Linked DNA regions of Drosophila melanogaster. The protein of the gene in region 1 purifies or fractionates together with the protein of each later gene. This does not show direct contact. Each region holds a gene or a part of one and is shown on either strand. Other genes may lie near its edges.

The links.
Region 2: the proteins of D12 (region 1) and wds purify together in Drosophila melanogaster (affinity purification with mass spectrometry; 3 studies listed by BioGRID). This does not show direct contact.
Region 3: the proteins of D12 (region 1) and Ada2a purify together in Drosophila melanogaster (affinity purification with mass spectrometry; 3 studies listed by BioGRID, with this or other methods). This does not show direct contact.

What each region holds. Positions count from the first base shown.
Region 1 is NT_033779.5:8,435,632-8,439,382, reverse strand, and holds the start of D12 (D12), read left to right. Parts: upstream 1-2,017; 5' UTR 2,018-2,207; coding exon 2,208-3,098; intron 3,099-3,155; coding exon 3,156-3,751. Other genes in the region: mus201 (mutagen-sensitive 201), read right to left, coding at 1-611, 681-856, 920-1,007; Chrac-14 (chromatin accessibility complex 14kD protein), read right to left, coding at 1,492-1,878.
Region 2 is NC_004354.4:2,583,865-2,587,615, reverse strand, and holds the start of wds (will die slowly), read right to left. Parts: upstream 1,637-3,751; 5' UTR 1,338-1,636; coding exon 1,067-1,337; intron 856-1,066; coding exon 230-855; intron 176-229; coding exon 1-175. Other genes in the region: CG13760 (uncharacterized protein), read left to right, coding at 2,409-2,618, 2,681-2,949, 3,014-3,153, 3,221-3,324.
Region 3 is NT_033777.3:18,253,315-18,257,065, forward strand, and holds the start of Ada2a (transcriptional adaptor 2a), read right to left. Parts: upstream 2,174-3,751; 5' UTR 2,067-2,173; coding exon 2,003-2,066; intron 1,923-2,002; coding exon 1,061-1,922; intron 1,003-1,060; coding exon 240-1,002; 3' UTR 142-239; coding exon of another isoform or gene 1-141. Other genes in the region: Polr2D (RNA polymerase II subunit D), read right to left, coding at 1-141, 2,003-2,066; moi (modigliani), read left to right, coding at 2,302-2,498, 2,558-2,897; Tgs1 (trimethylguanosine synthase 1), read left to right, coding at 2,894-3,751. UniProt on the Drosophila melanogaster protein: Component of the histone acetyltransferase (HAT) complex ATAC; predominantly involved in acetylation of histone H4, including at Lys-6 (H4K5ac) and Lys-13 (H4K12ac).

The DNA.
Region 1 (3,751 bases):
TGTTCAATGGCCGTTGGGGTGAGAATGCCCTCCTCATTGAAAAAGTCACACAACTCTGCATAGGTAAGCGTATGTCCGCCCATCTCCTGTTCCGCCTGCTCTAAGCTTTCCTGAACGGCTCGGCGCTTGAGGAGTCTCTTCATCTGGAAGGAGCAGAAGTCATCGCTGCGGGCGGGCAACTCGTGCAGACGGCCCCACGACGATTGCTTGCGCGTCTCCTTGATGTCTGTAAGGATCTCGTGTCGCACATCGGCTGGCAGATTCCGAAAATGCTGACTCTTTACATCGATGGCCTGTAAGCTAGAGTTGTAAGAATGTCGAGCGGTTGACTCGTCAAAGGAGCTGTCTGAGGCACTGGCACTGGTGTCCTGCTCGCTTTCATCTTGATTATCTTGCACCGATGCAGCCGGCAGTTCGGGAAGCTTAAACAAGTCATCCTCGTCGTTCTTCTTAGCTGGAGGCGGTCGCTTAACCGGGGATTTCAACAGTAGCTCTGCATTCTTGCCCAGCGCTTGCTGCACTACTTTTTCTTTGGCCAGGGATTGAAGGAGCAAAGCCTGAATGCGATCAGCTTCGTTGCTGAGCTTATTCCTCTGCTGCTGGCGACGTGCCTGAAGGGGTGACATAAAGAGGATTTAATTTAGAGAGTGAATTTGATATATTCCCCTATTATAACTCACAATAGTGTCCCTTTTAAGCTGCGGCACGCATCCATCGAAAATGAAAACCGGTCGCACACGATAGTATAGCAATTTACAGAGACGATGGAATAGACCCAGTAAATGGGCATTACTCAGGGCCGATCCCTTGTTGTCCTGAAAGCCCTTCACAACCTGATGCAACCAAATCGATATATCTGCAGGACGAAAAGTACTCCAATCAGCAAGTATTTCATTAGGTGGCGAAAAACGATGCTTACCCACTGCTAGGATTTTGCCCTCCAAAGTCTCTACGGGGACTGGCTTGCCGCACGGCTCAATGAGCTTCCACAAGCCCGTAACTCCCATTTTCTACTAAAATATTAATTGTATAAAACATGCAAAATAATAACTAACTAAACTTTTTGTTGCGATAAGACGCGCTTTTTTAAACAGCTGTTTCCAGTGCTGGAAAGAACACGCGGTTATCTATCTGGATGATTTTTAAAACAGTGATTTTCTGATCACATATATAAACAAATAATTACTGAAATACTTAAATATTATTCTGACACCTTTATATACTTTGAATGAAGGCGTAAAAAACTAGATCGGACTGGATTGAAATGCGGCATTATTTAAGGGTGTAATTCCAACCGTCACTTACAATCCCAAATTAATCCCATGTAAACGTTGACTAACAACATAATTTAGTCTTTGAGGAAAGTGACAAAACACAAGTGAAGTTCTTAGATAATGCCTATGTTTAATGTTTTTTGTTAATGCTCAATACTAGCTTTGTTCTTAATGACTGAAGAGGATAATTGATCCGTATAGTTTCTCCTATTCGTAATCACTCGGGGGCTTCCTCTGCTGTTGCGGTGGCACTGGCGTTGGCATTTTCGGCAGTGTTGGAATCCTTCTTGCTGGCCTTGCTCTCCTTTTTCTCCTTGACCACTTTACGATAGACCTCGAGATCCTGCGTCAGAGAGGGCACGAAGCTTTCGAAGTCTAGCTCGGTGAGGGTCTGTAGAATATCCTTGGCCGTGATGGTCTTGTGGTTCTGCTTGTGGGCCAACGCCGTCGACGAGGATGTCACGAAGATGGCAAACACAGATGCCGCTCGGGCGATCGCTGCTCGCGCTTCCTTGCTGACACTAGCTGACTCCGGCAGTGCTTCCTTGATGAGCCGGCCAATCACGGCATTCGGCAGGTTAAGATCCTCGATGCGCTCGACCATTTTGCTGCTGCTTATCTGCTTTTACTTGGTGGGCACTTTTGATTTTCCGTCTAGATTTCGGCGTCTTTGCTTCCCGCGTAAAGAGTAAACAGCTGGCTGAACAGTGTTGGACAAGGCCAGCGTGCACGCATCTACACCAGCGATGTGGCAACTCCCCCACTCAATTCTGTTTGCGCCGCCTCGTTCGCATCAATTGTTTACACATTTTTATAAATAACAGCCAATTACCCCGGCCTAAATGTGCACGGAGCGATTCGGGCCAAACTTGAAGCTGTTCCCCTCCGAACTAACGTGATACAAGTCCTGTGCGTGTGCCAGCTACCACGCACATGGACCAGCAACAAGCGACGCCGCCAAAAAAACGCAGGCACAGCGAGTACCACGATCCAGATTATCAGCAAACGGAAGTTTCTAGCCAGGATGAGGAAGAAACCTGCGCAGAAGCCGAGTCGCCCGGTCAAAGAAAGTGGACCAAGACGGAACAGTCGGATGGCATGCTGCCGTTGTCCGACAAATTTCAGCGCATCCGGGAGCTGCTTCGTCTGGAGTTCCAGCGCGAAATCTCTCAGAAGGTCGAGCAGCTGGCCGAGATCGACCGACGACTGCTGCAAGGACGACAACTGTTGGACAGACTACGCTATCAGGTGGTCAGCGAATATTACCGAAAGCAGCAGGTCCCCCTCACCGGCGCGGATATTGCGAAAGTGCGCGGCGACAGCCTTTTTGGGGACGACATAGCCGCTCCGCAGCTGCCACTGCATCCAGCCATTAAAAAAATCGTTGGCAAGCGCCCTGTTGTCATCCAAAATCATTTGCCAGAGCGCACGGCGGCCACCTTGGCCAAAGAAACCATCCGACTGAGGAATCCGGCTCATCGTCGGGCGGAACGAAGGCGGCAACAGAAGATCAAGGAGCAGGGCATCGTAACCGATCACTCCAAGGACAAAAAAGATCAGCCAGAGCAGGAACCTCCCATTTCCGTTAAGTTGGAGGACGAGCAGCCGTGCACCAGCCGACAGGCCCACGAAAGGCAAGTGGAGCTGAATGCCTCGCGGCTGAATAACAAGAACAAATTCAACTTCGTGGTGGGTAATACTTCCAAATACATTGGCGAAGACTCTCGAGAGAATGGCACAGGTGGGAATGCTTTGACCTATAAGTGGTTGGTCTATGTGCAAGGCAAAGATCTACCTGAACCACTTGAAAAATACATTAAAAAGGTAAGTAATTCCCATAAGCACGTACGGAGTGATTCAATCTCTTCTTCGCAATTCTAGGTGCGCTTCCACCTCCATCCGTCATACCGCCCAAACGACATCGTGGACGTGCACAGGTCTCCGTTTCAGCTTAACCGACATGGTTGGGGCGAGTTTCCGATGCGCATCCAGCTATTTTTCCAAGAGCACTTGCAGCAGAAACCCGTGCAACTAATGCACACGGTGGTGCTGGATAAAACAATGTGTGGACTGCACACGATGGGCGCAGAGACCACTGTGGAAATATGGCTGAGAGCAAAACAGGCGATAACGAAACAGAAAAGCGGCAAACCTCATCCTCCCCATGAACAGGAGACTGCAGTTCCTGCTCCACCTCTGGCTGCTCCGAATGTTTTAGAGCCTTCGGTTTTCGCCTTTCCTGGAGAGTCATGCAAACCGCGCACCATTTCAATCACTCAAAATAAGGAGGAACTTGATGACAATCTGTTTGCTGGTATCAACAAAATTGAACTCAGCGACGACATTGAGAAAATTGAACCAACTGTGTTGGTTTCAGAGCCCCTGAAGTTAAACTACAGTCCAAGAAAGCAGCCACCCACTCCGTCATCGCCTCCTAGGACTCAACTTCGGTTAAATGCGGCTCAGGTCACCGCTTC
Region 2 (3,751 bases), on another chromosome or scaffold:
TCCACAGCTTGATGGTCTTGTCGTTCTCGAGCGCCGCGGAAGCAATGATGTTCTCCGTGGGATGGCAGGCGGTGCACAGAACGGTATCGGTGTGTCCCTGCAGCTTTTGCACCACCTCCTTGCTCTGCAGATTCCAAATGTAGACCATGTTGTCCTCGCTGCCACTCACGATCCACTACAATGGACGCTTGTGAGTTAAAGCCTAAATGTGCATAAGATATGAACTCACCTTTCCTCCCGTCACCGAGAAGTTGGCGAATATGCAGTACTTCTCATTCTTGTGACCCGTATACGTCTTCAGGCACTTGCCCTTCGAGTAGTCCCACAACTTGAGCGTATTATCCAGCGTGGCGGCCAAAATGTACTTGCCATTGGGCGAGAACTTTACAAAGCTGACGGGCGGATTGTCGTCGTCGATCAGGGTTTTCAAGCACTGTCCACTGGCCGTGTCCCATATGCGACAGAGGCCGTCGTAGCTGCTGCTCACGATCAGCGATCCGTCGCGATTGAAATGTACCGCCGAAACGGGATCGGAATGGGCGGGTAGAGTCTTCAGACACTTGCCGGTGCGCACATCCCATATGCGAACGCTCTCGTCGAAGCTGCCGGAGACGATCAGATTGGACTGCGGATTAAAGTTGCAGCAGAACACATAGTTGCTGTGGCCCTTCAGAGTTTTCAAGCTCTTCCCGGTGCTCAGCTCCCAGACCTTGAGCGTCTTGTCATCACTGCCGCTCACGAGGAGTCGCGAGTCTGAGCTCCAGGCCACATCGCTGATGCCCAGCTTGTGGCCCGAAATGGTCTTCTCGAACTTGCCATCGTATGCTCCCCAGATTTTGATTAGTTTATCAGCGGCTGAGGGTTAGAAGTGGAAGTTTAATAGGCATGTGCTGTATGTATGGAATGTACAATATGTATTCTATAAATGCTTCTTCTCTTTTCCGAGATCTTATTTCATCCCAATTCCCATTAACTGAGCTGCCAAAGCTGCCTGTTCAGTCCAATAGCAGTTCAGTACCATAAAATTCCCCCCCAGATATTCGTGGATAGGGATGTATGTACTTACAGGAGCTGGCCAGCCACTCGCCATTCGGACTGAACTTGACCGCCGACACCGCCTTGGTGTGCCCGGCCAGCGTGAACTTGAGCGTGTAGTTGGGCTTGACGGATAGCGAGCTCTTGTTGGAGGCGCTGCTGTTCGAGGAGGTGGTGGCCCCCGGCTGGCCCACCGAGTTCGGCTGCAGCGAGTTTGGGCCGCTGGGCGCCGTGGGCAGTGGTTGCTGTGGCGGATGCACTACGCCGGGATGGCCGCCGTGCACGGCTCCGATGGGCACCATGTCCTCCGGATGCGGATTCTGCTTATGCTCCTTGGCCTGGCCTCCTTGTTTATTTTCCTTTTTTCTTTGGCACGCCGCACACGTGCTTCTTCTTCTTGTTGTTCCGACTAGAGAAACGCCGCCAATTAGCGGGCGAATTTGTTGGGCCTGTCGGATTAACTGCAGCTACTCCCGTTACCGGTGGTCACCGGCTGCTCTCTCTGCTGGGCGTGTGATTTGTTTGTTTAAATAGGCGCTTGGTTTTTTGGCTCGTTTGCGTGCCACACGTGAAAATAATAATGCTTAAGGTCACACTAATAACTAAAAATTGGTCAGCGCGTCAGTGTGGCCGTTGCGCACCAGCCACGGATTGCCACAGCGGTGGTGGAACGTGTTTACTCGATTCCTTGCTTTTTGTTTTTTTTTTTAGGGAGATTTGGGATGTTTTCGTCCTTGGGGGATGATTCTAGAATGGGACTCTTAGTTTCCCGCTGAAACTATCAGGGGGAGTGCATCGGGCACATCGATGCCAAATTGCATGCAGTTAGCTCGACGTTGCCAGATCGTTTCATACATGTTTGAAGTTTCGCGTACAGTTGCATTTAAATTTATACCAATTGCCAGTAGTTATTTAGTCTTAAAATTGCAGGTAATTCTAACTGAACTGTCAATTTTGAAGGGCTTAAGAAGGATTTACATAGTGTTAGAACATTTTTTGCGCCTTTAAGATTTCAAACCAAAAATTTCCTAGCAGCAACCAAGATTTGTAGGAAAATACATCTAACTCCTTTGGCGACTCACAATTTATGTATAAATATTATTTAATTACAATATTTACAATATATATCTAAAAAAATTCAATTGGCATTTTTTTCAACTGGACATAGCCGACAGTTGGCATTCCGCAGACAGCTGCACCTGGCCACACTGGCCCAAGCTGTTAGACCAAAACATTCCCAGTTCAGTTTCCAATTGGACGCCAGGATCAAAGGAGCGCAGCCGCGGGCACAGGAGCACGCGAAGCACACGGAGCCAAGGACTCGAGGACCCGAGGAGCACAAGAAGCCAAGAAGAGCCCAGCTGCTGGCCAGAATGAACGGACTGCCGCCGAGCAAGCACTACAACCTGACGCACTACCAGCAGCGCTACAACTGGGACTGCGGTCTGTCCTGCATCATTATGATCCTGTCGGCGCAGCAAAGGGAACAGCTTCTTGGGAACTTTGATGCCGTGTGCGGCGAGGAGGGATTTGGCTCGAGCACCTGGACCATCGACCTGTGCTATCTGCTGATGCGCTACCAGGTGGGCATGCCGTGATGCACATTTGCATTCGCTCACTTCTTTGACACTCTCTTCTTGGCCAGGTGCGCCACGAGTACTTCACCCAAACGCTCGGGATCGATCCCAACTACGCGCAGCACACGTACTACTCCAAGATCATCGACAAGGACGAACGGCGCGTGACGCGCAAGTTCAAGGACGCCCGGGCCCATGGACTGCGCGTTGAACAGCGCACCGTGGACATGGAGGTCATTCTGCGGCATTTGGCCCGCCACGGACCCGTCATCCTGCTGACCAACGCCTCGCTGCTCACGTGCGAGGTGTGCAAGCGCAATGTCCTAGAGAAGTTCGGGTGAGTTCCTCTTGCCACCGGCGATTCACAAAAAACCACCTTAAATCCACACTCGAATGAAAAGCTGTTTTCATATACCCTGCATTGCTCAAAATACACGCCTCCATGGACCCAAAAGGTATGCCGGACACTATGTGGTGCTCTGCGGATATGACATGGCCGCCCAGAAGCTCTTCTACCACAATCCCGAGGTCCACGATGGCCGTGAGTATTCCATTTGGTAGCAATCCTTGAAAATTCATTGATTTTCGTTTTTGGCTGCGTTCCACAGACATTTGTCGCTGCCTCATCGAGTCCATGGACACGGCCCGACGCGCCTACGGCACGGACGAGGACATCATTTTCATATACGAGAAGAAGGAAACTAGGGAGTAGTAGATGGATAAACCAGCGGAACAGATGAACAAATGAACAGATGAATTGATGAACAGATGAACAGAAGTACCTGCCGTCGCCAGGTTGCCAGGTGATGAGAACGGATGATTGGAATCTGCGCTTGTGATATTAGGACTTTAGGAGGAGACCTTGTAGGGGGGGACTTCGAGTGGGAGGTAAGAGAAAAAGCTGTCTGGTTAACTTTGGCACAACAGTGTACTTTATTTAGGTATTGTTAGCAGTTGGTCCCCATACAAAAAAAAACAATTACAAAATTATATTTATGTAAACGTGCCAGGCAGCGTCTACTCGTACATTATAGAGGCGTTCCATTGACGCTCCAAAAACCGTCGACGGAAAGTCCGAAAATCCAATGTTATTTCATAGTTATGTTTAAACACAGAACAATAGTAATTGTTCCCTAGCT
Region 3 (3,751 bases), on another chromosome or scaffold:
GAAAACTATCCGTGTAGGCGTACGTCTTCATGAAGACCTCGGAGAACTCTTGCTCCTCGTCGGCGGATTCGTTTTGTCGCTTTCGGTGATCGAGAAGCATGTGCACCTCCGATATCAGCAGCGTCTCGGCATTTTCGAACTCTGAAACAAAGAGAAACGAAAGGGTTTTTTTTTCTTGAATTAGTTACTTGACGACATTCAGGAAATTTACAAGTGAAACATTGGAGAAAAAATTAGCCCTAGCCATAGGACGGTGGTCTGCTGATATGGCCATGTTCCAGCAGAAAATCGTAGATCTGACGCGTTTTGTTCACGTCAATTTTGATGAGACGTCGCGCATCGGCCAGTCGTAGATATCCGAGCTTTGCTTGCTCCGTAACGAGTTGATTCTTGTAGTCCAAATACGACTGCGGAACCAGACGAGCCACACTGCACAACTTTCGCTCGCCATCATCCAGTTTGGAGTAACCAGGCAGATCTGGGATCAAAGAAAAATTATATTCAGTTGGTGTCAGGCAATGAGTAAAGTGTTTCCCACCTCCAATCTCAATGGGACTGGCCTTTCGACGCGTGTTCATCACATATAACTTTGAGTTAATGGCCAGGGGACCAGGATCACCGCTCCTGTTGCTCTCGTAATGCTGCACCAATTGCTGCCAGTCGAAAGCATCTGTTTGCTTCAGCCTGCTGTAATCTCGCTGAGCCTGCTGACGTTCTTTGCTCAAGCGGGCATATAATTTGGCTCCGGAAAGAGTTCGAACGCCGTGCTCCCGCAGATCGTATAGCTTGTGCAGCTGGCTATGCAGCTCCCGATAATAACGCAGAGACTCCAACAGCATATCGAACTTAATGGGGTCAGGACAGATCTGCATGAAGCCCAAGAAACGCATGCAACTCGCATCGCTGCCAAAGGCGTGCACGTACTTGGAAATCCAGCTGACGGTGCGATTGGGCATTATGAGACCGTGTTGCCTCATTATCTTGTAACGACGCTGGCGCTCTCTGTGAGTAAATATGCATATTAGATTTTTTTTAGTAGCTTTCTGTTATAAGATCATACCTGAGGCGATTGTTGTATGCCCGAACTAGTCCGAGTTGCAATTCCTCTGTCACTTCGCGCTCAAACTCACTCTCAGACGCCTCGTTGTCGTCATCCCTGCCCCTATGATCCACCATAATAGATAGCAGACTCTCTGCTGAGGTGTCGTACGGAGTATCGAAGTCTCCTCTTGCACAGCGGTAACCTGCGCTTAGTCTGAACTGCATGGAGGCGATGTCGTCATGACGTGGTGGATCCAAGCTGCGCATTTTGAAGACATACGGCATTCGCTCGGGCACATAGCTGTCCCTCGCATGCTTCAGATTAAGGAGCCGCTCGAATATCCCGCCAAAGTAGCAATCGTGGTAGTGACGACGCACTTCTGCGGGTTCGTGGCGCTGGTCCAGAGCCTGGGAGACCGCCTCCCAGTTGCCATAGCCGTGGGTGCGAAGTGTTTTCAGCAGTATGCGCTCGTCCCGTGCCGTCCAGTGTGGCTCATCGGCGAAAACCTGTATGTTGTCGCGGACTATGATGTAAGCGTGGTTATTGCGGTGAGAAAAGGCCTCCTTTCCACGTGAGAAACATTGCAGGCAGAGCAGGGTGTCGAGGCACTCGGAGCACTTAATGTACGGCTCTGTGAGACTGCAGCGACATGTGGCACACCGATTGGCATCCTTTGTAGCCGATGGAACACTGCTATTCTGGTCCCGCGTCTTTTCCTCCATCTCCTCCAAGTACCTGTGCAACGTGTGCGGATTATACAAAACCATGGAGTTCCTGGTGTGTTCATTCTGATGTGCATGGATGAACCGCTTAACCTGTGGCCCCAGTGGCTCAACTGCAAAGAGGCAATTCAGTGTGGTAAAAATGTGGAGGAGTGCCACTTTTGGGGCACTCGAAGCCAAAGGTTTCAGCCAGTTTCACTTGTAAGTTGCATTTCGGTTGGTGTAGGGCGTTGGTTACCTTTGGGAAACTGCAGGTCGGCGGCGTCCTCATCCACCATATCCACGGGGTTCATAAAAGACATAGTGAGCTAAGAACTGCTCAGTTTGTTAAAGTTTATATTAAGAAATTCTAATTTGCACAATAAAATGTCGCTGTTTTTAGTGATGAGAAAGGCAGGGCTATAACTGGCGAAGAAGCTATCGATAGGTGGGTCGCATCGTGCGTAGATACGTTGGTCACACTAGCAAGCATGTTGAGTTTATCATTCCGGGTGTTTTGATTTTGTTCGGAATTCTTGGTTTTTTTCCAAGAGAGTTATGTCCCTGGTGCCAGAAGCCTCTACCTCGAGAGCGCCCAAGTACTGCTACTTCTTCAAGACCCTGCTGGTGGAGGAACTGGAGCTGGAAACTTCCTACCACAACCTGCACTACGGTCAGTGCGCATTAATTGGACGTCTGGCGTTCAAGGCGAATCAGTACCGCCTAGAAAACGTGCGCGTTAAGTGTTTGCCAAAGTAAGTTTTTCTATATTACCTATCCATCCGGTCCTTACCAATGATGCTGCATCTTTCAGGAAGTACTCCTTGGGCGAGGGCACCGTATCCTTGCTTATTCTTGGCCTTACCCATGACAAAGTCGTCGAAAATCGCGTGAGTACCGGCCGCTACTGCATTGTGCGTGGTGAAGTGGTGCTACATAATGTGCAGCATCCCAAAGGTGCCAAACTGACCGCCGGCGGTGTCTACGACAAGATCAATAGTCTGTCCAACGATCCGTTGGCCCAAAAACAGTATCTCAGCGCGCTACTTGCCACCTACAGACCGGCCATCGACTTATGGTACATCCAGGTCATCGACAGAGCCGAGGACTTGCTGACTCGCAGGCTGGAGATGAGAAGTCTGATCGAGAAATGAACACACACCACCTGACCACCTCGCGAACCAATCCGCAGTTCTATATATTCAGTCAGCTCTTTGGTAACGATTTCGACTGGAATAATTGCAATTGGGGGGGCATTCAAAACGTTACCTGGAAAGAATTCTGGCAGCGTGAGGGGCATGAGCTGCTCGAGCAAAAGTGGCACAAGCGGTTTCCCGAATACAAAGATCTTATCGAGGTGGTTTCGTCGGAGGAGCAAGGCCTTTGGCAGGAACTGTGGGAGAAGCACGCCAGCGATTACAGTGAAAAGTTCTGGTATATATTTAGCTGTGCCTTTGAGAACTACCAACACGATTTGGCCAAATCATTTGGCCTTGACGTCGCTGAAAACTCAGAAGATGTTGAGGAGGACTTGCAGAACCTAAGCCTTACAAATAAGCCAATAAAATCGAAACAGCAAAGGGTCACAGAGAAAGAGGAGGACGAATCATACTTGACTGCCAACGACGATCCCGAGGATTGTGACGAGGAACAACAGCTGCGCCTTCTCGGATTGCCAACATCATTTGCGTCGAAGGCAGATATAATTAATTATAGAAAGGAAAGAAAGACACAGTACGAACTATCTAGCAGCGATAGCGAGGACGATCATGATCTGTTGACCATGGAGAACAACGAAAACGAGGCTCTGCACGGCGTTCAGAGCGGTTCTGTTAAAAAGAAAAAACGACGGCAAAGGCAAATAAAAAAACTCAAGGCCAGGATGCCAGAGTGCATGCAAGAGGATAACAACAAAATGGTCAAGTACTGGGTCAAGCGATTCTCGCTGTTCTCCCGCTTCGATCAGGGCATTCGGCTGGACCGCGAGAGCTGGTTCTCGGTGACACCC